3 linked regions of the Lytechinus pictus genome follow. The protein of the gene in region 1 purifies or fractionates together with the protein of each later gene. This does not show direct contact. Links are inferred from orthologs where the notes say so. Each region holds a gene or a part of one and is shown in the gene's direction. Other genes may lie near its edges.

Region 1 (8,760 bases):
CCCTGTTTAATAGACTGACTTCATATTACTTGAAGTGTCAGACAGAATTGCTAAGTGGTGGAAGGAGTCAACAAATACAAATTGACCAAGGGTTTTTTTTTTTTTTTTTTTGCTAATCATTTCAGATAAAGAGATAAACCACAAGGCTACTGTTGCCAATGAAAGTGTTACGGAGTGACCCTGAGCAACAGCTTTTTAGAGACGTTAAAGTTCTCTTCTCTAACTTACCTCTGTAACCATTCGGCAACTTCTTCACTGTTCTCATCGGTCCTGACGACTTCTTCCACCTGTACTTGGGTTGTCTCTCGACGAAGGCCGGCATATGGATGCTCCGGACAATGTCTGTTTGCATGTGTGAATCTGGATTGACAACCTGGCAACAACAAAAAACATTTAAAGGCACTTAGCAATTATGTCCAGGATTCTAAATATTGGGTACGCTAAACCTCAATTATTTTCTTTTTAAAATGAATTACATTTTGTCTGAAATTTTCAGTTTTAGGCATACTGCACCTTTTAGTTTTTCATAAACAAATTTTGCTACTTCAGCAATTTAAATTCATCCCTTTTAAAAAATATATTTGAATTACAGTACACATGTGTATGTACATCAAAACCTCTTATATTCAAATGTTAGAAACTTGTATACCAGTGGAGATATTTTGCAATTAAGTATTATTGCAAAACTTGTGGAGAAATAAGTAGAAGCACAAAAAAATACATTATTTGATGGAATAATGTTCTATTTTTCCATCATTATTAATTTACAAATCTTCTTTCCTTGCTTAAGTCATACAAATCCCCATTTTGAAGATGTTACAAACTGGAATATAACCAAATCCAATCTGAAAAAGTTAGATTCAGTATAATTTGGAATTTGAATCAATCCTGCTGGTAAGTACCTCCTTTTTTTTTTGCTTTTCTAGGAATTCAAGAAACCTGAATGGATCAAACATGGATCGAGGATTTTTTCTTCATTTTAACTACATATTTCCGGGCAGCTCTTGGCTAATTCTAACTTTTCTCTGTGGCAATACTGGGGGGTGTTTAATAAAGCCGTTTGTAAAATAAGAGCAACTTTAAGAACGACTGGTGAACCTATCTTACGCACTAAACCATCGCCAGTGAACATTTTGGTGTATACTATTTACCACAAGAAAGGATCACCAGTCGTTCTTAAAGTTGCTCTTGACTTATGAACAGCTTTAAGGAACACCCACTGGGTCAAGCAAGACTAACCTGGAACTGAGCAAGCGAAAGGTTTCTCTCCTGTATGTAATCTCTGATGGGTCTTCAACTGACCGCTCTGAACAAAAGCTCGGTTGCAGTTTGGATAGTCACACTTATATGGACGTTCTCCTGTTTTCCAGAAGATAAAAACAAAGAATGTGTAAGTTAAAATTTGTTAAAGGACAAGTCCACCCCAACAAAAAGTTGATTTGAACAAGTAGAGAACAATCCAAGAAGCATAACACTGAAAATTTCATCAAAATCAGATGTAAAATAGGAAAGTTATGACATTTTAAAGTTTTGGTAAATTTCACAAAACAGTTATAGGCACATCCTGGTTGGTATGCAAATGAGGGGACTGATGACGTCACTCACTATTTCTTTTGTATTCTATTATATGATATATAAAATATTTTAATTTTCTCCTCATTGGAAGGTGAAACAAGTTTTCTTCCTCCATGTATACATGGGGAATTACAATTGTTCTAACATTTTATGGTTCAGTAAAGCTGGTCATTATTGTCAAATCTGTAAAAATGGAAATATTGTATAATTCAAACAAAAGAAATAGTGAGTGAGGGACATCATCGACTCTCTCATTTGTGTGTTGCCGAGTTGTGCATATAACTGTTTTGTGAAAAATAAGCATACATGTAACTTTAAAATGTCATAACTTTCTTACTTTACATCCGATTTTGATGAAATTTTCAACGTTATTCTTGTTTGATTTTTCTCCATTGATTAAAATCAACATTTTTCTGGGGTGGACTTGACCTTTAAATAATAATTTTTATCTATAAATTGTTCTTCAAAACAACATTTTGTAACATCGCTTATCGAAGGTACATAATGACGAAGCGGTTCAAGGGTCAAGCCTTAAGCCTATTATATTTGCGTTGTTTACAAATGGATCGAGGGATCTACACGAGATCGGTCTGGTATGTAACCTCTCGTTTTTAACCTTTTTATTAACATATTTTTGCACCTTCATACGCATATGATTAGGCGTATGAAGGTGTATAGATAAATAAAATGATACAAATTTACGTTATTTCTATCTTCAATTTTCAAAGATGGATTTTCTAGGGAAATCCATCTTTGTTTACATGTCCTCTTATATGCCTATGGAAGGGGTTTCAAGGCTTCGTGATGAAGAAGTATATGTCAAAATATTTAAAAATATCATCACGAAGTCCTCAAGGCTAGCCCCTGCCCCAGTTAGCAAAATAGACTTTCGTCTTTCGTCAAGGACAAGGTCTTATTTTTTTTATACTGACGGCCTAAACTTGAACTTAGTCATGTCATGATATAGCTCACGAATAGACTTCTTTTCAAAGAGATAAATCTTGTCTCTTTCTTTCTTGTTTTCTTCCTCCATTATCATATAATTTCATAAGAAAAAAAAGGTTAACTTATAATTATGACTATGTAACTAGGTCAGCTCAGCAGTTTTCACCCAAAAAAATACATGATCTTTCACACAAATCAAAATGTTTAGCATAGCCTACACTACGTTATTCTCTAACTGTAAATACAAGTAATAAATGTCTGACTGAGAAAATGAGAACTGATGACAAAATTGACATCTGAATCTGATGTCCAAATTTTTATTATAATTTAGCCAAACCAAAGCGAGCCCTATCATTTATGATGATTCTTTGACACTCTCTTTCAATTAATTACCTGTATGCGTTCGAAGGTGTGCTGTTAATGACTTTTCTCGGGGAAAGATCCGATCGCAAATAATACACTGAATGACATCTCGACGGATTTCACTGCTCCCTGCCTTCTGCAACTCTGCCACCGTCTCTGCCCTCGGTCTCCCCCTACTTGACCCTCGTTCGACGGGCGGGGAGCCACCGCAAGAACTGCTGCTGGCAGATGGGCTGAGCTCGACGTTCCCTGCACTCTCCGACCATTTCCAGGGATAAAAGTAGCAGATTCCAGGACTCACAGGACTTAAAGGCGTCAACGATAATTTTGGTGGTCGAACTGGTGATCGAATTTCAGTGTTAGGCATGATCTTATACGGCGAATTCTTCAAAACGTTAGCCATTTTCAGCTGTCTGTCGTCCCGTTCTCTTCTTGATCTCGCGCGTTTACAACAAACCGATCTCGAATTTGGCGCTACAAAATGCTCCGGTGCAAGGTGTTATGGGAGTTTTTTTCAAGCGGGCTCTTTAAAGGATAGCCTCAAACTAACAACTTAATTTTGTTTGCAAAGAGATAACTCGTTTGCTCCCCCTTTTCTCTTTTTATACATTGAAAGAATTGAATTATTCACTCATTTTTCATATAATGAAAAACTTATATAGTTTTTTTCGTTCATCTCATGTTGTAAAAAAGCATATTTTTGTCAGCTTTTTAAGTCGATCCCTGATAAAGTAAGATTTAGACAAAACCTGAACTTCCATATATGGTAATTGGTGTTATCAGCTGTCTTGTCGGTACTACAAGCAATATTTGTTTTTGCCTGGATTATTTACCTTGATTACTGTGTAAGATATTGATCTTATCTTAGACGAAAATGATAAAAAGTTTAAATTTGCAGGACATTTTTCTTGCAGTCTCGCTTGATATGATTATGATTCCCGATTTTCATAAAACCGGGCGAATCTAAAAGTAAAGGGGGGTATTTCGGTGTATATAATGGTCGCTAGAAATGAATTATTCATATTTTGGACATGTATATTTAATGTATGATTTTTTTACAACTTAATGAGGATTTTCTTTCACCTCAGGTTTATACCTCATTATTATCAGAAGGGATCTGAATCAGATAAACGTATTTGAACCCCGGGATTTGAACCCCTTTTAAATGTTTTGTCCAAGAGAGCGAGAGCGCGCGAACATGCATGATATGCTACTGTACTAACTCGTACCATATATGCATGACGTACGTAATCTAGCGCAGGCTGGAAGCTCGAAGTACGGATCCTTCCAGCGCAGCATGCCTGCCGCCGAGCCCTCGCTCTCGTTCGATGTAAACATTGCATAGCTATTTTTCCGCGCGTGCTTCCTATTCACTTTGTGTACAGTTTTATCGCCATTTTTAATGACGGGGGTTTCATTGAGAGAACGCATTTTATAGCGTTAAATATCTTTCTAATCCTTCATAGAACGAAGGATTTTATCACAATGGAGGTTACTTACACTATAGGAGTAAGTAACCGTTTCCTTTTGGACATGGATACGGTGTCCGATCCACAGGATATCTTTGCTGAAAAGGAACAACGAATGAAGGAGAAGAAGGAGAAAAGCAGCAAACCCAAACAGCCAAAGCCTGCGAAGAAACCAGAACCAGCCAAAAAGGCCCCAGAACCTGAGCAAAAATCGAGGAAAGAAGGTATGAAAGCTTCCTTTTTTCTTAGAAATGAAATGTATGATTTATGATGTGTCTAAGGTAGTATTTTGTTACCTCCCCCATTCAATATGTAGGTTTTAAAACATCTTGTAAAATTATGTTCGTGGGGCCTAAAAATAAATTTTCTCCATGCTCCGTGCACCACCACCCTAACCCGGCATGCTTTTCATACATGTTCATGCCGCACGTGATGTACGGACTACGGGATATTGCAGTCATTGACATTGACATTGCGTTTACTATTTAGCAATTGAATATAAAGGTCTAACTTTAGACTCCAGGGTATTGTGGAAAGAAGTACTGTTAAGTAAGGGTTGATTTTGAAATTAAAAAAATTTGTTTGGTAATAAATGAGGGGCATGAAGCCATGATTTTTATGAATGAATTTAATTTCCAATTCCACATGGAAAAGAAAAATGGATGCCAACTTCAGTCCGACTGTCGGTTCAGCTAATTTGACCAGGCCCAGGCAGCAGGGACTACAGCTGGCAGCCATTTGTTTCAAGGAGTTTGTTTTTACATGTATTCCTCCTCGTACACGGACAGCTCGCGATCGTGCAGCGCCATTAGGGGTTAATGCAAAATCCCCCGACGGGGCTCATCGGTTTTTGTCTTTATTTCATCAAAATATAGGCCCGAATTCACAAAGGTGGTTTTGAAAACCAATGGTTGAATCCATGGTTCATGCAGATTTAAATTACGCTTAATTTCGCACGTATCAGGCGTGTGTTTAAAAAATGTCCAATGCTGATGCGCGCTTTTGTCACAGTGTGCCAAATTGACGCCTGTTACCATGGTTAGATACGCTATTTTATTCATGAGTCCACTGTTTGAAGAGTGGACTCATGAATAAAATAGCGTGGATAACCACGGCAACAGACCACAAAGAAGAATTGTACAGGAAACCCGCGCATGCGCGATACGCTCGTTCGATCGCCAGCGTAGTGCGTGACGTCATGTTTCATTCACAAATCTTGAGCTGTGATCTCATTGGGTGTTTTGGCTCTCATTTGCATATTTTCCCATAATACAAAACCTATGTAGTGCGAGAAGTTTCTCTGCGAACCACCGATCAACCTCATACTAAACACGACGTATTTCCTTCAAGATTTCGAGTTGAAAATCTCATTTTCTTCATACGGTGTAGCTACATTACCTCGGAAAATCTGATGATATTTTGCGGACTTCTCGTCATTTGGTAAGTCATATTTTTGAAGATATTTACCGTCGAGAAGTGAAAATCGCACGACTGTGTTCGTTGTTTACTGTGTGTCAATGTGTGCAAAGTGTATGTGAGCGACATGTATTGGTACAGAGCGACATACGGAAAACCGTCTACACCGAGGTTTATTTTGTGAACTGTTTTGCGGTGGTGTTTGTGCTTAGTCCGCAATGGTGTATATAAAGCATGGCGTACGTTGTGTTGTGATCGGGCTTCGCTCGGTTGTTCGTGCATGGTTCGTGAATGGCTGTGGAATGTGTGTGAGCTCGGCCATGCGGCCTTGGGGCGTGTATGTAATGAATGGCAGCTGCACCTGTTGTTGTGTATGGCTCTGAAATTGAAGCTCTGCTTGTATTAATGGAATGGCGAATATCATACTCGTAGTATTTTAGGAATATAAGTTTGGGCATTTTATTTGTTGGGACTTTCGTGATACTGATTTTACTTTTAAAACTGGACACTGATTTTTTTTTTTCGGTAAAGCCAGGGACAATCAATGGAATTGTTGAGACATGATAATATCATAGAGCTATAGCTCTATGATAATATCAATAATTATAGACCCTACAGAAATACAGGAAATTAAATTGAAAAATAATGCAAATTATAATCACTGAAGTGCGGATGTGTACCAAATTGATATGGATGGAGATTGATTTTGATTTTGTTTCCTTCAGTATTTTTTTTTTGCAAAAATCAAATATTTTCCTGCCCTGTTCTTTTTCTTATCAATTTTTTTTATCTTTGAATTACCAATTATGACAGCAATAAATCAAACTCAAAAGTTCAAACTATGGTCTATTTTCATTGTATAATCTACAGCATAATCCGAAGATGACTGACACTGATTGAAAGACTGTATTTCACAAGACCCAAAGGACAAAGGTCGAGAGCTACAAGTTCACATCGCATTTTACAACTGCTCAAGAAGGTGAAGGATTTGGGGATCACTAAATCAAGACGACGATATTCGGATATAAAAACAATTTTATTTTTATATGAGATAATCTTTCAACTTTATTTTTACTTAAAATTGAAGAAGTGAATAATCTTTACAAATTATGAATATGATGCTGAGAAGGATCGAAAACCATTCTGTCAACAATGATGCACTGTAAAAATGCTATTATGTATATATGGTCATAATGTTCTTGTGATTTATTTGTAATTAATTTATGTATTATGTTGTTTCACTGTTGAAAATAATTCAAACAATGTTTAATATGTGAATTGCATAGTAGTTTAAACATTTTAAACAAGTGTTTAAGAACTTTATAAACAACAAAGTTTAAACTCTAATATTTAATCATCAATAAATAAAGCATGGTTGTTTAAGATTTTGAACACTTGTTTAAACTGTTTAAACTACTATGGGATTCACACAGTAAACAGCATTGTTTGAATTATTCTTAACATATAAATATAAATTATATATATATATATATATATATATGCTCAATAAATTCTTATGCATTAAATTTGCCTTCAATAAGAGTTTCCAGTTCAGTATGAATTATACAAAAAACATGGAATTCTGGAATGACATTCACTTTCACGGAATACATGTAAAACACTGTTCATGAAAAGTATAATGAAAATCATCAAAAATAAATTAAAGCCAAACTGTAAAGAGTAAGCCAACCCCTATATCATGATTTCTTTTAATAAAGATTTAACAATTTGCAACTGCATCAACTTTATTATTTTTATATGTCACTATAATACCCCAGTCACATTTCCCCTACGGCGGCCGTACGGCAAGTCGAAAACAGCAGTTTAACATTATTTTGTACCAGTGTACATATACATGGTTTGAATAAAAATGAATAAAACGGCCGTTTTCGACTCGCCGTACGACCGCCGTAGAGCAAATGTGACTACTATACTAAGGACGTCAACATTTAAAGAACATCTTTTAATGGAAAACTGGAAAGGATTGATATAAAGTCCAACGAAGTTACTTAAAGCCAGATTTATTCACATATTGATCAATAAATTTACCCCATACTTTCTACATCTTTTGAAATTGTGATTTAATTTTCTGAATGCGTGTTTTGGTTCTGTCAACCATTGTTTTTCATGTCTATGACAGACTCGTACCTCGGTCACATTTGCCGCACGGCGAGTCGAAAACAGCATTTTTATTCATTTTTATACATGGATAAACCACCAATATGAAGCTGGTACAAAAACAATATTAAAACGACTGTTTTCGACTCGCCGTATGGCCGCCGTAGAGCAAAATAATGTGACCGAGGTATAAGGACATAGCCCCTCGGTCCGTGAAATCCCAAGATTAATTGTTCCGAGGCTTCCAAATAATTAATAATTCATTAGACGGGGTCCCAAACTTCTCTTTATAAATTGAATGTTTTTCAATTTCGGATAAAATTAATATAACTTTCATACTTAATAGCTTTCTGTTAAAGTTTATAATTCGTATCCAATTATTTCGTTTTTAATATGAATTATAAGTATTTTCATTTGTTTCAGGGGCGGATCCAGGATTTTTTTTAAGGGTTTCAACCAAAAATAATTAAGGGGATTTGGTCTTCACTTTCTAAAGGGGGGGGGGGGGCACGCTTCTGTTTTAACACCATTTTTAAATTCCAAATTTTACTTGTGCCTCTCAATGGTGGGGGGGGGGCGCGCACGTGCCGGCTGTGCCCCCCCCGGATCCGCCAGTGATTTTTATTGTTCTTTCATTTGTTCACCCATGATCACGAATGTTTTCATAATGCATACATGTACCTCACGATTTTTTTTTAAATACGATTCTAAATGTTATGAAAATAGTTCGACAGGCCTAATTTTTTTGCATACCACACTCATGGAGCTACTGTTGCTACTCTGCATCAGCGTGTAGTGTGCGAGAGGGGGGGGGGGGTAGGATGGTCGCAAAGAGCGATCGAGCAAAAGAGAAAGTGGTCCATAAATGAAGAGG
Region 2 (8,760 bases), on another chromosome or scaffold:
TGTCACAAGGGCCAATCCGACTTTCGCCAATTAGGGGGTGGGCCCAAAATTATATATTTCCCCGATCGGTCACTTCTTAGCTTTAAACAATATGAGATTAATCTCATAAGCCCTATATAAAAAGTGCGAGCGCGATGTGTGAGCTAATTTTTCTTAAACTTTCATGTATTTTGTCCTGAAAATCTTACATTCTGGGCAATGTTTGTGATCCTGAACACTAGATAATTACTGCGAACGCCAAGCGCAAGCAGAAATTTTCAATAAATGTTCTGGCATGATCGAAAAGGGACCTGTTAAGGACTGTTTAATTATAGTTACACACGAAGAAGGTACATATTACAATTATTATGGGCGAAGTGCAAGCTAAACATTTTTGACATTCCAACCTAAAAAAAAATGGTCATTCTAAGCACTTTTCGTAATGTGAAATGGGATATTAGGTATGTAACTAAACAATTGATGCGAGCGCGAAGCGCGAGCGGAAGAAATTTGAGTTTTTAGACCTTAAAACGGGACAATCTATTCATATTTAGTAAATCATGAATAGGATATGGTTAATTGGGTATTATAATGCGAGCGTGAAGCGCGAGCAGAAAATAAAAGTTCTGATCTGATACTGGATAATTTCAAACACATTTTAAATAAAGAACATATATGCAGGAACATACATGACGACTCCCAGGACCAAAATCCAGTTAAAACCAATTAGGGCAAAACCAATTGAAACCAGTTGGCCAACTGGTTTCAATAGGGGAATTGGAACAACTGGTTCCAATTGAAAACCAGTTGCCAATTGGTTCCAGTTAAAACCAATTGGTTCCAATTGAAAACCAGTTGCCAATTGGTTCCAGTTAAAACCAATTGGGCAACTGGAACCAGTTGGCAATTGGTGTCAATTGGTTCCAGTTGTTCCAATTTCCCTATTAAAACCAATTGAAGGCAACTGGTTTCAATTGGTTCCAGTTGAAACCAGTTGGAGGCAACTGGAACCAGTTGAAACCAATTGGTTTCCAACTGGATCCAATAGGAACTTCCAGTTGGAATGAACTTAATTAGTTACAAATGAATTAGCATTTGCACTAACTATTGCTCATGCCAACACAGAAGCAGTGTTATATGTCTATTAATACCAATGTAAAGGGCATTGATAAAATACAGACTTTCATATATGTATATATTTATATGGAAGATCTTCAAATATATGTATTTTTATTTGATGTAATTTGGTAACAGTTAGTGGTGTACTAATTATCCTTTAATCTGTTTTAATTATAATCTATGACATTTATGAACATGGTTTTCACTGCTAAGTATTTTAAATACTTATCTTTAAAAAATGTGGTACTTGAAATTGAAAAGAATTAAATAGATACATTGTTAATGATGATGAATCTCATAAAACATTAATCTGTGCACACTGGCAGATAATATGCAAATTAACTGGTTTCAATTGGATCCAGTTGGGTAACTGGAAATGATTTCCAATTGGTTTCCAATTGGAAATCATTTCCAGTTACCCAACTGGTTCCAATTAGAATTCATTTCCAGTTACCCATCTTTCCTGTTAGAAGTCATCTCCAGTTACCCAATTGGTACCAGTTAGGATTTCCAGTTAAACAACTGCATGGTTCAAGTTAGGATTTCCAGTTACCCAACTGGTTCCAGTTAGAAATCATTTCCAGTTGGAAGTCATTTCCAGTTACCCAACTGGTTCCAGTTAGGATTTCCAGTTACCCAACTGGTTCCAGTTAGGATTTCCAGTTGCCCAACTGGTTCCAGTTGGGATTTCCAGTTACTCAACTGGTTCCAGTTAAAAATCATTTCCAGTTACCCAACTGGTTCCAGTTAGGATTTCCAGTTGCCCAACTGGTTTCAATTGGTTTCAACTGGAAATTGTTAAATTCTAGTTAAAACCAATTGAAACCAGTTAAAACCAATTGAAACCAATTGAAACCAGTTGGAAATCCAACTGGTTTCAATTGGATTTTGGTCCTGGGACTCCATATCACCCTTTTTAGCAAGACATGATTCTCATCGAAAAGGCAATCCGAGCGCGAAGCAACATGAATTTTTTTTTTCTTTTGTCTTCCCATTATTTTATTCACTCGTCTTCCTCCTCTTATTTTCCTCTTCTTCTTTCTTCCCTCTTCTTCTTTCTTCCCCCTTCTTTTTCTTTTCTTCTTTCTCCCTTTTTCTTGCTCTGCCAATTTTTTTCAGTGGGGGCACACCAAATCTTACTGGGCAGTAGTAGTTCTTTTTTTTTCAGAAGCTAATTTTCCCGGCAAATTTTTACTTTTTTTGTGTGTGTGACGAGGCAATTCATGGCGAGTAATATTAAGAGGTGCACATCATGTGGGATATACAAGTGTAAATTAGTAGGCCTATTCTGTTAAAATAAATGCATGATTTTGTAACAAAAACACTCTCCAAATCGTTTTGGTCCCGGGGGGCCCGGGGGGGCACTTATTCACGAGTGGATACCATGCGCGACCAAAAAAACACGTAAAAAGGATGTCTTTTTCAAGATAGGGCACGTTACGGACGTAACGTATTAAGGGTGTCAAAAACACTAAAATTAGGTTATCTATTTTCGCTATAGGAAAGCTACGCACGTGTTAGGGTCAAATTTGCGAGGGTACAAAAATGAAGACTAAAATGTTTTATAATGCCCCAAGGGTCAACTCTACTTGTTTAGAGTATGATTTGCGCGAGATGTGGGGGAGGTACGTGCAGTGGCGTACCTAGGATTTTCCACAGGGGGGGGGCAAAACCGTCCGCCAAAAAATTTGAAAAAAAAAAAAAAAGGGTCTTCGATCACAAATAAAGGATTTCGTACCAGAAAAATATTGACAAGCAAAAAAAAAAAAAAAAAAAAAAAAAAAAAGGTCTTCAAGCTCGTCAGGGGGGCATTGAAGGTCTTAAAGCTCGTCAGGGGGGGGGGCAAAAAAGGTTATACAAGCCCGTCAGGGCAAAGATACGTTTTTGCATGGGTTTTGACTCGTCAGGGGGGGGGGGGGGCAGAGTGCCCCCCCTGCCCCCCCCCATAGGTACGCTAGTGGGTATGTGGCAGGTGGTGCTGAACTAATTAAACCCAACGATGTCAGGTAAATTAGGTATAAAACAGAACTATCGCTGCGGTACTTGTTTAGGGATCCAATTCAGGGAATACTTGCCAAGAGTATCGTTTTGTTTCCAATACTTAATTGTTAAGTGGAAGTGCCCCCCCCCCCGGATTTTGATACAAAATCAAACGACTGCAATGATTTTGTTACAAAATAAACCGACAGTAACGATTTGGTAACAAAATCATTTGACAGAAATGATTTAGATGTTACTATAAGGCCTATACCCCGGCCGTGTGGGGCAATTGTGAATTGAGAAATGATATAACAGTCCCGGATAACAGCTAGCTTCTAGATTAGTTAACCCAAATTTATCCATATAAGATATATGCCAAGCCAATTAGATATGCATATTTCATTTTATTCAAGTTGAAGCAAGTATTTAGTAAAGTTGATTATTCTGCATGTCCCCGGTCTTTCCTATTTATAGTAACCTGTCACTTGGTCACTTCCCCCAAAGGACCCAATCGATGGGCCTCCTGGGAGGTTTGCCCCCCCCCATAAAGAAATGATTTCGCCGTGCTTGCCCCCCATGGGGGCCCCATCATTGCAAGCTCAAGAAAACAACACCCCCTCGGCCTCGTGTATGATAAATTCGGGATAAATTTCAAACTCCCAACAAAGTAACGAAGTGGTGTTACGTTTACGAACGTAATAAATAGCGTTCCATACTTAAAAGCTGTAAAAGAAAATCTTGCGTGAACACGGCGTTTGTCTCAAATTTCATCTAAATACTAGCTCCTAGACATATACTACGTGTATTTTGTTGCTGTATTCTAAAAGTAAGTACAATCATTTAGGTAAGAAACTTCCATACGGTAATCTTGTCGTGTGGGTGATGGAAAGTCGGACACTATTTACATTTGTTTTGAACTTATTGTCGCCTTGCTTGGCCTGCTGAGCTGGCGCTGGCTAATCGTTCAGCGTTCGTTTCTGTACAAAGTCTATGGGAATGGAATTATGGAAAGCTGTCAGTAGCATGCACTAATGATAATGAAGTCAGTGATCTGAAGTGAAGCCGAAGGCTGAAGCAGTGAATCTGAAAATGAACGTCGGGGACTGGTGACAAATTTCATGATAGCGGAAATAATGACTCGCCCAGTAGCGTATGCAGGATTTTTGAAAGGGGGGGTTCAAGCCGAATGAAATGTTGACGACCCCAAAATTTTAGGTCGTTTCCTTTAAATATAGCCACAGTAAAATAACATTTTTTTTCAAGACTTTGTCTTTGGGAAGTTTGGCTTGTCAATTTTTTTTGGGTAGGAAATTTTTACCCCCAAAAAAATTGACAAGCAAAAAATTGATTTCTTTCAGGGGAGTTTTGGGTTTAAAAATACCAAATGGGGGGGGGGGGGGGGGCTGACGTACGCTACTGGACTGGTCCTTTTGTTTGGCCATAATTAGCCAGGGATTGAAGCTGAAGTGGAGCCAGGGGAGGGAGCCTCGGTCCTTCCCCTCCCCCTAAAAAAAAAAACATTGAAAAAATACGAATCTATGAGCCTAATAGTCCACCTCCTGGAATGTTTTATATTTTGTATGTATGCAACTACCAAACACATAACACACTACCAATCCCATAACACACATACACACGCCCTGAATAGTCACATTTTTTCGCGGAAAGTGAATCAGTGGGTTAGGTGAATCACTGGTGGTACGTGAATCGTTGGAGTGTGTCATGTGTGTTGGTAAATGTGTGCGTGCGGGTCTAGATAGATGCAAAGGGTTTGCACAATCATTAAAAATCGTCCAGGACGTGGAATATGAGCCTAACAACCTTTGCTTCCTTTATATACTTCCCCATTCCCCCCCCAAAAAAAAAAAAATATATATATATTTATGCCTAATAAATGAAGGGAAATAGAAAGAGATAAGAGCTCTGACCCAAGAGGCCTACACATAATTGGTGGCACAAAAGACAGGAGAAAAAAAAAAGAAAAGGAGAAGAAAAAAGAAAACCAAAAAGTGGGAGAGACAAGAAAAGGAAGGAATCGATAAAAGAATTAGGAAGAAAAATTGAAAGGAGGAAGAGTGGTAAAGAAAGTGAGAGGAGGGGTTTGGCATATTTAGCAATCCTGTTGGGTCACATGCCAAAATAAATTCTGCTTATAAAAATGCTCTCGCTCACATTAATCATATCCTGCACGCTATGCTTACTAGGCACAATTCGTTTTTTTTTTTCAAGTCTAAAGAAAGAAATAATTCAGTTCACACTCGGTACTTAATTAGTTTCTTTTTAAAGATATGCAGCGTGTTCATTTAATGTCCTGCTTTCACGTCTGAATACAACAAAAATTTAGCTCAGACTTTAGTTAAACCCAGGTTTGGAATATGGGCCTGGCTGTCTGACTCTTTGAGTCTCACTCTGGATCATCATCATTCCTGATGAATAATTGACAAATTACCCGGGCGATACATTATTACTAGTTTTAGTGTTTTACTACCAATAATAATAGGCATTTGTATAGCGCCATCTATCTAGAAATAATCCATTTCGAGGTGCACTATTATTATTATAAATTATTACCCCAGCTTTAGCCCGAGCTACATGTACCTTGCAGCACTCTGCTTTCAAGGGCATAAACCTGCCTGGTGCCTCACCTCACCTGGGTTGAGTGCAGCACAATGTAGGTAAATTTCTTGCTGAAGGAAAACACGCCATGGCTGGGATTCAAACCCATGCCCTCTGATAGAAAGATGATTGTTTTAAATATTTGTGAAAATAAGAACCAAAAACAGCTCCAATAAAATGTCGCCCTAACACTATTCCTAGATATTTGATGGCAGTTGAACATGTTACCTCTCTGTTAGTTTGGGCTTTAAGTTCTAATTTTTTTTCTTCATCTGTACCATATCTGCAGGATGAAAGCAGATAAAGCAGAAGCAAAAGACAACTCGTCGCTTGGAGATGCCTCGATGGAGAAGCGGAGGAGAAAGCGCCATAAGAAAATCATACTTGATGTCAGTCAGCAGATCGAGTTTTACTTCAGCGATGCCAATTTGAGGAAAGATCGATTCCTGAAGCAAGAAATGTCTAAAAATAAAGATGGATGTAAGTCTGTGGTCAGTTTTAAAGCTGGCTCAAACGTTTGGTTAGGGTTACAACTGACCATTGTCGTCCATTTGACATGTCAATCTTACAGAAGTGTACTTAGCCATTGATTTTTTTTCAACCATTGATTCTCTCTGGAATTTCAAGCATTCCTTTCTCAGATATCTGATGCCCTCTCTCGCTGTGTTTTTATTTTTCTTTAAAAAAAAAAGCTTGAGCATTTTTTCAAATAAAGATTGTATCTTTTTATTCTCAAAGAATAAAAATGCAGGTTTTTTATTTGGATTTAATGTAGAATTGTAAAATTTATCCTGTAAAGCACAATTTCCTTTCCTCTCCGTCACATCATAAATGTTTTAGGGCAAACAGGAATTTGTCATTAAATCCACTGCAATGTATTGGGTTATAGGCTGGGATGTAGTCAAGACCGGCACTCGCCCCGAGTCACATGTTCAAAGTCTATGGGAAAAGGTTCTCTGTGCACAGCGACCTCATGACTCGGAAGCACCAGCATTGACTACTTCCCCGGTTACACAGTGGTGCTCAAAAGTTAGTGAACCCCACCTGGGTCCCGTAACACAAAGGTTAGCGATTAATCGTACACTTGATTTTCACGATTGATTGTACATTGTAGTCAATGCAATCAATCGTAGAAAAATGTTCTACGATCATTGCTAAGCTTTGTGTTACGGGCCCCAGAACATATTTAAAGTGTTCAAGTTCTGCCATTTAATTGTGAAACCAGGTGTTAAAATATTGCATTCATTAAAGATTGTTTATCTGGGCTCGTTGAACATCATAGTGTTATCTACATTCAACACTCAGCATGGAGGAGTGCATTTTGTGGTGGGTTTATTACCTTTTAAGCCCAACTGTAGGTGACAGAATAGATGATTATCATTTCAAAGTTGTTTTTCACTTTTCTCTTCAATCTTTAGATGTTAGCGTGGAGACCATAGCCAATTTCAACAAGATGTTATCCATGACTGAAGATAGGAAGGAGGTTGTCTCTGCCATTCAGCTTTCAAAAATCCTCAAGCTCAGTGATGATCAGCTCTTTGTAAAGCGGACAGCACCTCTGGAGCCGCCCAAGTACGATCCCGATGACTGCACTGTATATGTAGTAAGTGTTCACTCTGTTAGGGTATTTTCCATGTTTTGTAGTGGTAAGGGGAGGGGGGGGGGGGACTAAACACTTTTTGTGAAGCAGACAGCACATCTGGGGCCACCAAAGTACAGTCCTGATGAATGCACTGCATATGGGATGAATTTTCACTCTGTTATAGAGGGCTGGGGGTAAATTGCCAATTCGTCCACTGCCAACTCGTCCATCACCACATGGTCTACCTTCATTTAGTCTAATGCCATTCCGTCCATCAACATTTCGTCTAACAACCATTCGGTCCAATAACCATTTGGTCCAATCATCACTTCGTTTAATCACCAGTTCGTCTATTGCCATTTGGTCTAACAACCAGTTGGTCTAAAATTAATACCCATTTTCTTTTCATTAATTTGCACAATTATCACTTAAGTTTAATTAGACCAGTGGTATATGGATTAAATGGTTATTGGACCAACTGGTTATTAGACGGAATGGCATTAGACTAAATGAAAGTAGACCATGTGGTGAGTAGACGATCTGATGATAGACCAAATGGTAGTAGACGATTTGGCAATTGGACGAATTGGCATTAGACGAATTGGGAATAAACCAGGCTTGGGGAGGGCTACTTGGGCTCCCACTGGAGTCGCCCAAGTATGATCCTGGTGACTGCACCGTATATGTGGTGAGTTTTAACTCTGCTATCAGGGTATGTTTTTTCCAGTTTTCGTAGGGATTGGGGAGGGGAGCATGGGTACTCGTGAAGTGAACAGCACCTCTGGATTAAAGTATGATCCTAATCATTGCTAGTGCTCTGTGACTGATTTGTCCTCTGATGTTGCCCTGTTGGGGTAGAGATGGGGCATTACTTGATTATGATGTATGAATAGATGTTTCTTTACCCCGTTTAAACCAAGTTGTTCAGATCTTGTCAGCGAACAGTTTAGAAAAAAATATTGCATGGATGTCGAGTGTAAAAGGTGTTGCCCTTTAACTTTTTTCTGCCCCATACATGTATAATTGTATCCCCGAACAGAGTTCGAAGGATGGATTTGGCCTCTCAAGCCACGTCCGCCGCCGCAGAGATATCTTGTGAGCGCTCTATCAGCTTAATTTCTTCTCCGATTATTTGGCATCAAGGTCGAGTATGGTATAGCGAAGCCGCCTATTGATTTTGGTGTGGGCGGAGACATCATTGCCATGGTAACAGGTTTTTGTGGAAATAGCAGAGATGTCCATGTGAGCACTCTACCAGCTGCATTTCTTCTCCTATCATCTTCAAATGTGGCATGAAGGTCCATTATGGTAAAGCAAAGCCGCCTATCGATTTTGGTGTGGGCGGAGACATCGTTGCCATGGTAACAGGTTTTTGTGGAAATAGCAGAGATGTCCATGTGAGCGCTCTACCAGCTGCATTTCTTCTCCGATCATCTTCAAATGTGGCATGAAGGTCCATTATTATAAAGCAAAGCCGCCTATTG
Region 3 (3,600 bases), about 3.9 Mb from region 1:
TTTCTTCATTTTCCAAATTAGCTAAAGTTCATTTCCCGATTTTCTTTATCTTTTAATTTATTTCCCTTTCTTATCAATCATGCTAATGCATAGTATTTCGGGATGATTGTTTCTTTCTTACAATACATGTTCTTCTTTCCTTCCTTTTCCCGCTTTCCTTCCGTTTTCTCTTTTCATGCTTTTTTTTTCAGGCATAGGATCCCTGCTGGCCTCCGCCACGTACCTCCGACTTTTGGCTTACCTAATGGCAACCATAATTGCCAGATCTTTAAAAAAAACAACAACAAATTTATAAGATTAAAAAAAATACTGTTTTTAAAAGCTTTTTCATTTCTCCTTTATTTTTTTCCTTTCCCCTTTTCTCCCCCTCCCACCCGTACCTTTACTTTTTGTCTTCTTTTCATACCAGTTAGTCTCATACCATAGAGATGTATACTAGTATACATCTCTATGTCTCATACACGGAAAAATTATTTCCGTGGTCTCATAGGAATGACGCAATCTTTATTTCTAGAAATTCAAGCATAGTCTGCTAGCAAGAGTAGACTTTTTTTTAAAGTAGAAACCAAAATAAGAGCACCCTATCTCTATAAAACCGTCACCATTCTTATCGATCTATCCATATTTTCCTCTAGAAATACGATATACAGAAATATTTGTCAATATTTATTTTACAGCGCAAGAATGGTATTGTGCAATCGTTTAATATGACAAAGCTGGTTCGGCTTGGTTTTTTGTTTTCTTTCCCCACTCTGTAATAACTATTGTATTTGAAAATAAAAACGTATCGAATCATATTGTTTTGTATGTAATTTTGAATTTATTATATAAAATTTATCTATATTAATTTTTACATGATCGTGTAATCATCTAATTTTATATGACTGATTATTTGTAGTGCATTTATCTCTAAATCACTATAAATGTTCCGCTTGATTGCTCTCGGTATATATACACGTGTATTAGTTTGGTCCGTGAGTCTTGAAGATAAACTAATTATTTCATATGCAGCAAGTTTGCGATTTCACTGTGAAGACGAATGCACTTGCTGTTTTCTTGTTTAAATCATCAGAAATATGGCTGAAAATTCTCAGTAAGAATTTCATATCTTTATTTTGTTTAACTTTATGTATCGAAATCACGTGTGATGTATTTTGCTGCTCTCATGAATGAAGAGAATTTATTACTCGGATCTGGCTTTGTTCATATTCGGTCATCACACACATTTTCAATTTCACGAAGTCATTGTGCGTGTATGAGATGATGTGAGTGACCGGCGCGGCGAGCTTTTTACAGCTACCCACGTACACTACAGACTACACTCTACAGTACAGGCCAGTGCAGCGCCAGCCAACCAAAGTGCGTGTGTGTGTGGTTCACTGGTTGGAACTACCCCTTAATTATCGACCACCTAATTTTCTAAGCATCGTATCAGCGAAAATATTTCTCAGTTTTTACCTAGTTTTCGTCTCAATTGTGCAGAAAATTTAGGAGATCAGATTCCCATGTTTCGTCTTTCGATTGACGATCCGATTCAATTCGCGTATGGTCGGGGGTCCTAAAGCTGCGCGGGTCCTAAAGCTACGCACCACTCATAGCGCATGCAGTTTTTTATGGCAAATGCGCACTCTGTGTGTGGAACTGTGACTGCAGAGTGACGAACGATTCCTAATCAATTTTTTTCTACAGAGGTTGCAGTAAATCTCTAAATGCAGAGAAAACAAACAACTATTTGGATTTTTGGAGTTATATTCGCTTTAATTTCATTTTATCCTATAATAATGTGAATATATTTTAGAAATTGAGGCACAGGAAATACTTTTTTTTTGCATGATAAATCGAGTGCGTAGCTTTAGGACCCCTTCTACATCGGGCGGCGAAATCAAGAGGTGTTCGGAAAACACGGCGGGATTTTCGTGTTAGTGAGTTTAGCGATATTTTCTTCTTGGTTAATGATCTTTATAATGTTTGCCACAAATTAGTGAAAGATAATTTGTTGAAATATTAAAATTGGGATATTTTTTGTTGTTTGAAAACAAAGTGCGTAGCTTTAGGTCCCCCCATCATATATGGTATATCGGCAAAAAACTAAGTAATAATACGACGATTTTACATTTGCTCATTTGCACCCTTCTTTTAAAACCGACCACCCGGGATACACTAACCGTTCAAGTTTACGGCCGATTCTTGTCGCGGCGGCGCGGCGAAATATTTGGACTCTTCCAAATCAGTAATGTCAAAAATGATCCTCTCACTACCGTACTGGTACTTCCACTGCGAGCTCTGGCACATGATTCGAAGATTGACGACGGATTTGTTCTAAAGCCGTTTCCTATCGGATTTCTTGGTATGAACAACTGTTTTTCAGCGGGGTTCGGGTCTAGTCAAAACAATTTTGATAAATTCTACTAAATTTCTACCCCCTTTCGTTTTCTCTCGTAAAATCGATTTTTACTGTTCCTATGGACACTGCGCCTACTCTCCCGCGTGCATCGTTTGTAATGTGCAATGATTTTAATGCGCGCAAGGTGGTCGGTTTCAAAAGAGGTGGTGATGGTCTCACTATAACGTTAGGCCTATCTGGTAACTGAATGTAGATCTACGTCATCTAGTACCTCGGTCACATTTGCTCTACGGCGGCCGTACGGCGAGTCGAAAACAGCCGTTTTAAATTTTTTTTGTACCAGCTACATATAGGTGGTTTGAAATAAAATTAATAAAACGGCCGTATTCGACTCGCCGTACGGCCGCTGTAGAGCAAATGTGACCGATGTGTTACGTGGTCATGACTAGCCAGGAGGCTCCTAGAGAGTAAAAATCATTTACTAACGTATGCTTACTCTCAACGGAGCCAGGAATTTCTTCCCATTCATCTGCGTGTACCGCAAAAAAACCCTGAAACTTTCGCCCCCGAGATTTCTACTTTCCTTCCAAAAGATCTAGCCCTTAATCATGTACATGGGATACAACTTCATTTCCGACATTTCTACGATATCGATTTCATTTTTAAACAAGAATTAATTCAAAAAAATATTATGAAAAGACGGGAAAAACTTGCCACCGTGTTTACGTCGCCATCTTGATTTCACTGTCTTTTGCGTGGCGACAGCACGCAAACCGCGCGGAGGAGCAAGTTAATGAGTTTTCATAACTAGATCTATTTTTTAGTCCAGTTGTGATCGATGCAAAATGGGATGAGAGATGCCTGTGTGTGATGGTGCAATAGTTCATCTAATTTTTAAGTTTGACAATGTTTCACTTTGAGACTTATTCATTTCTAAAATATTATAGTTTTTCGAAATCTTTAAAATATATTTAAAAAAAACCAAATATCATTAAGATTTTTATTTGATTGGATTTTTTTTTTTTGCTTGTAGTTTGAACCTTTTCCCTTTCTTTCTTTCTTTCTTTCTTTTGTTCTTTCATCTTTTTTTTCTATCCTTTCTTCATCTTTCTATCATTCCTACTAATTTACCTGGCTTTTTTTGTTCCATCTATTATATTTCCAATCTTTCATAGCTTTCTTTCCTGATCCTTTCTCTTCATTTTTCTTTCATTCCTTCTTTCTCTTACTTTCCTTTTTTTTCCCCCTTTTTTGTT

The links.
Region 2: the proteins of SERPINE1 mRNA-binding protein 1-like (region 1) and la-related protein 7-like purify together in Homo sapiens (affinity purification with mass spectrometry; 3 studies listed by BioGRID). This does not show direct contact. The link is inferred for Lytechinus pictus from reciprocal best matches to the Homo sapiens genes SERBP1 and LARP7.
Region 3: the proteins of SERPINE1 mRNA-binding protein 1-like (region 1) and transitional endoplasmic reticulum ATPase-like purify together in Homo sapiens (affinity purification with mass spectrometry; 3 studies listed by BioGRID). This does not show direct contact. The link is inferred for Lytechinus pictus from reciprocal best matches to the Homo sapiens genes SERBP1 and VCP.

What each region holds. Positions count from the first base shown.
Region 1 is NC_087255.1:23,541,263-23,550,022, reverse strand, and holds the start of SERPINE1 mRNA-binding protein 1-like, read left to right. Parts: upstream 1-3,286; 5' UTR 3,287-4,368; coding exon 4,369-4,576; intron 4,577-8,760. Other genes in the region: zinc finger protein 367-like, read right to left, coding at 229-373, 1,240-1,359, 2,914-3,286. UniProt on the Homo sapiens protein: Ribosome-binding protein that promotes ribosome hibernation, a process during which ribosomes are stabilized in an inactive state and preserved from proteasomal degradation.
Region 2 is NC_087262.1:10,071,998-10,080,757, forward strand, and holds the start of la-related protein 7-like, read left to right. Parts: upstream 1-3,773; 5' UTR 3,774-3,904; intron 3,905-5,983; 5' UTR 5,984-5,984; coding exon 5,985-6,174; intron 6,175-7,112; coding exon 7,113-7,297; intron 7,298-8,760. UniProt on the Homo sapiens protein: RNA-binding protein that specifically binds distinct small nuclear RNA (snRNAs) and regulates their processing and function.
Region 3 is NC_087255.1:27,478,670-27,482,269, reverse strand, and holds the start of transitional endoplasmic reticulum ATPase-like, read left to right. Parts: upstream 1-925; 5' UTR 926-1,076; coding exon 1,077-1,093; intron 1,094-3,600. UniProt on the Homo sapiens protein: Necessary for the fragmentation of Golgi stacks during mitosis and for their reassembly after mitosis. Involved in the formation of the transitional endoplasmic reticulum (tER).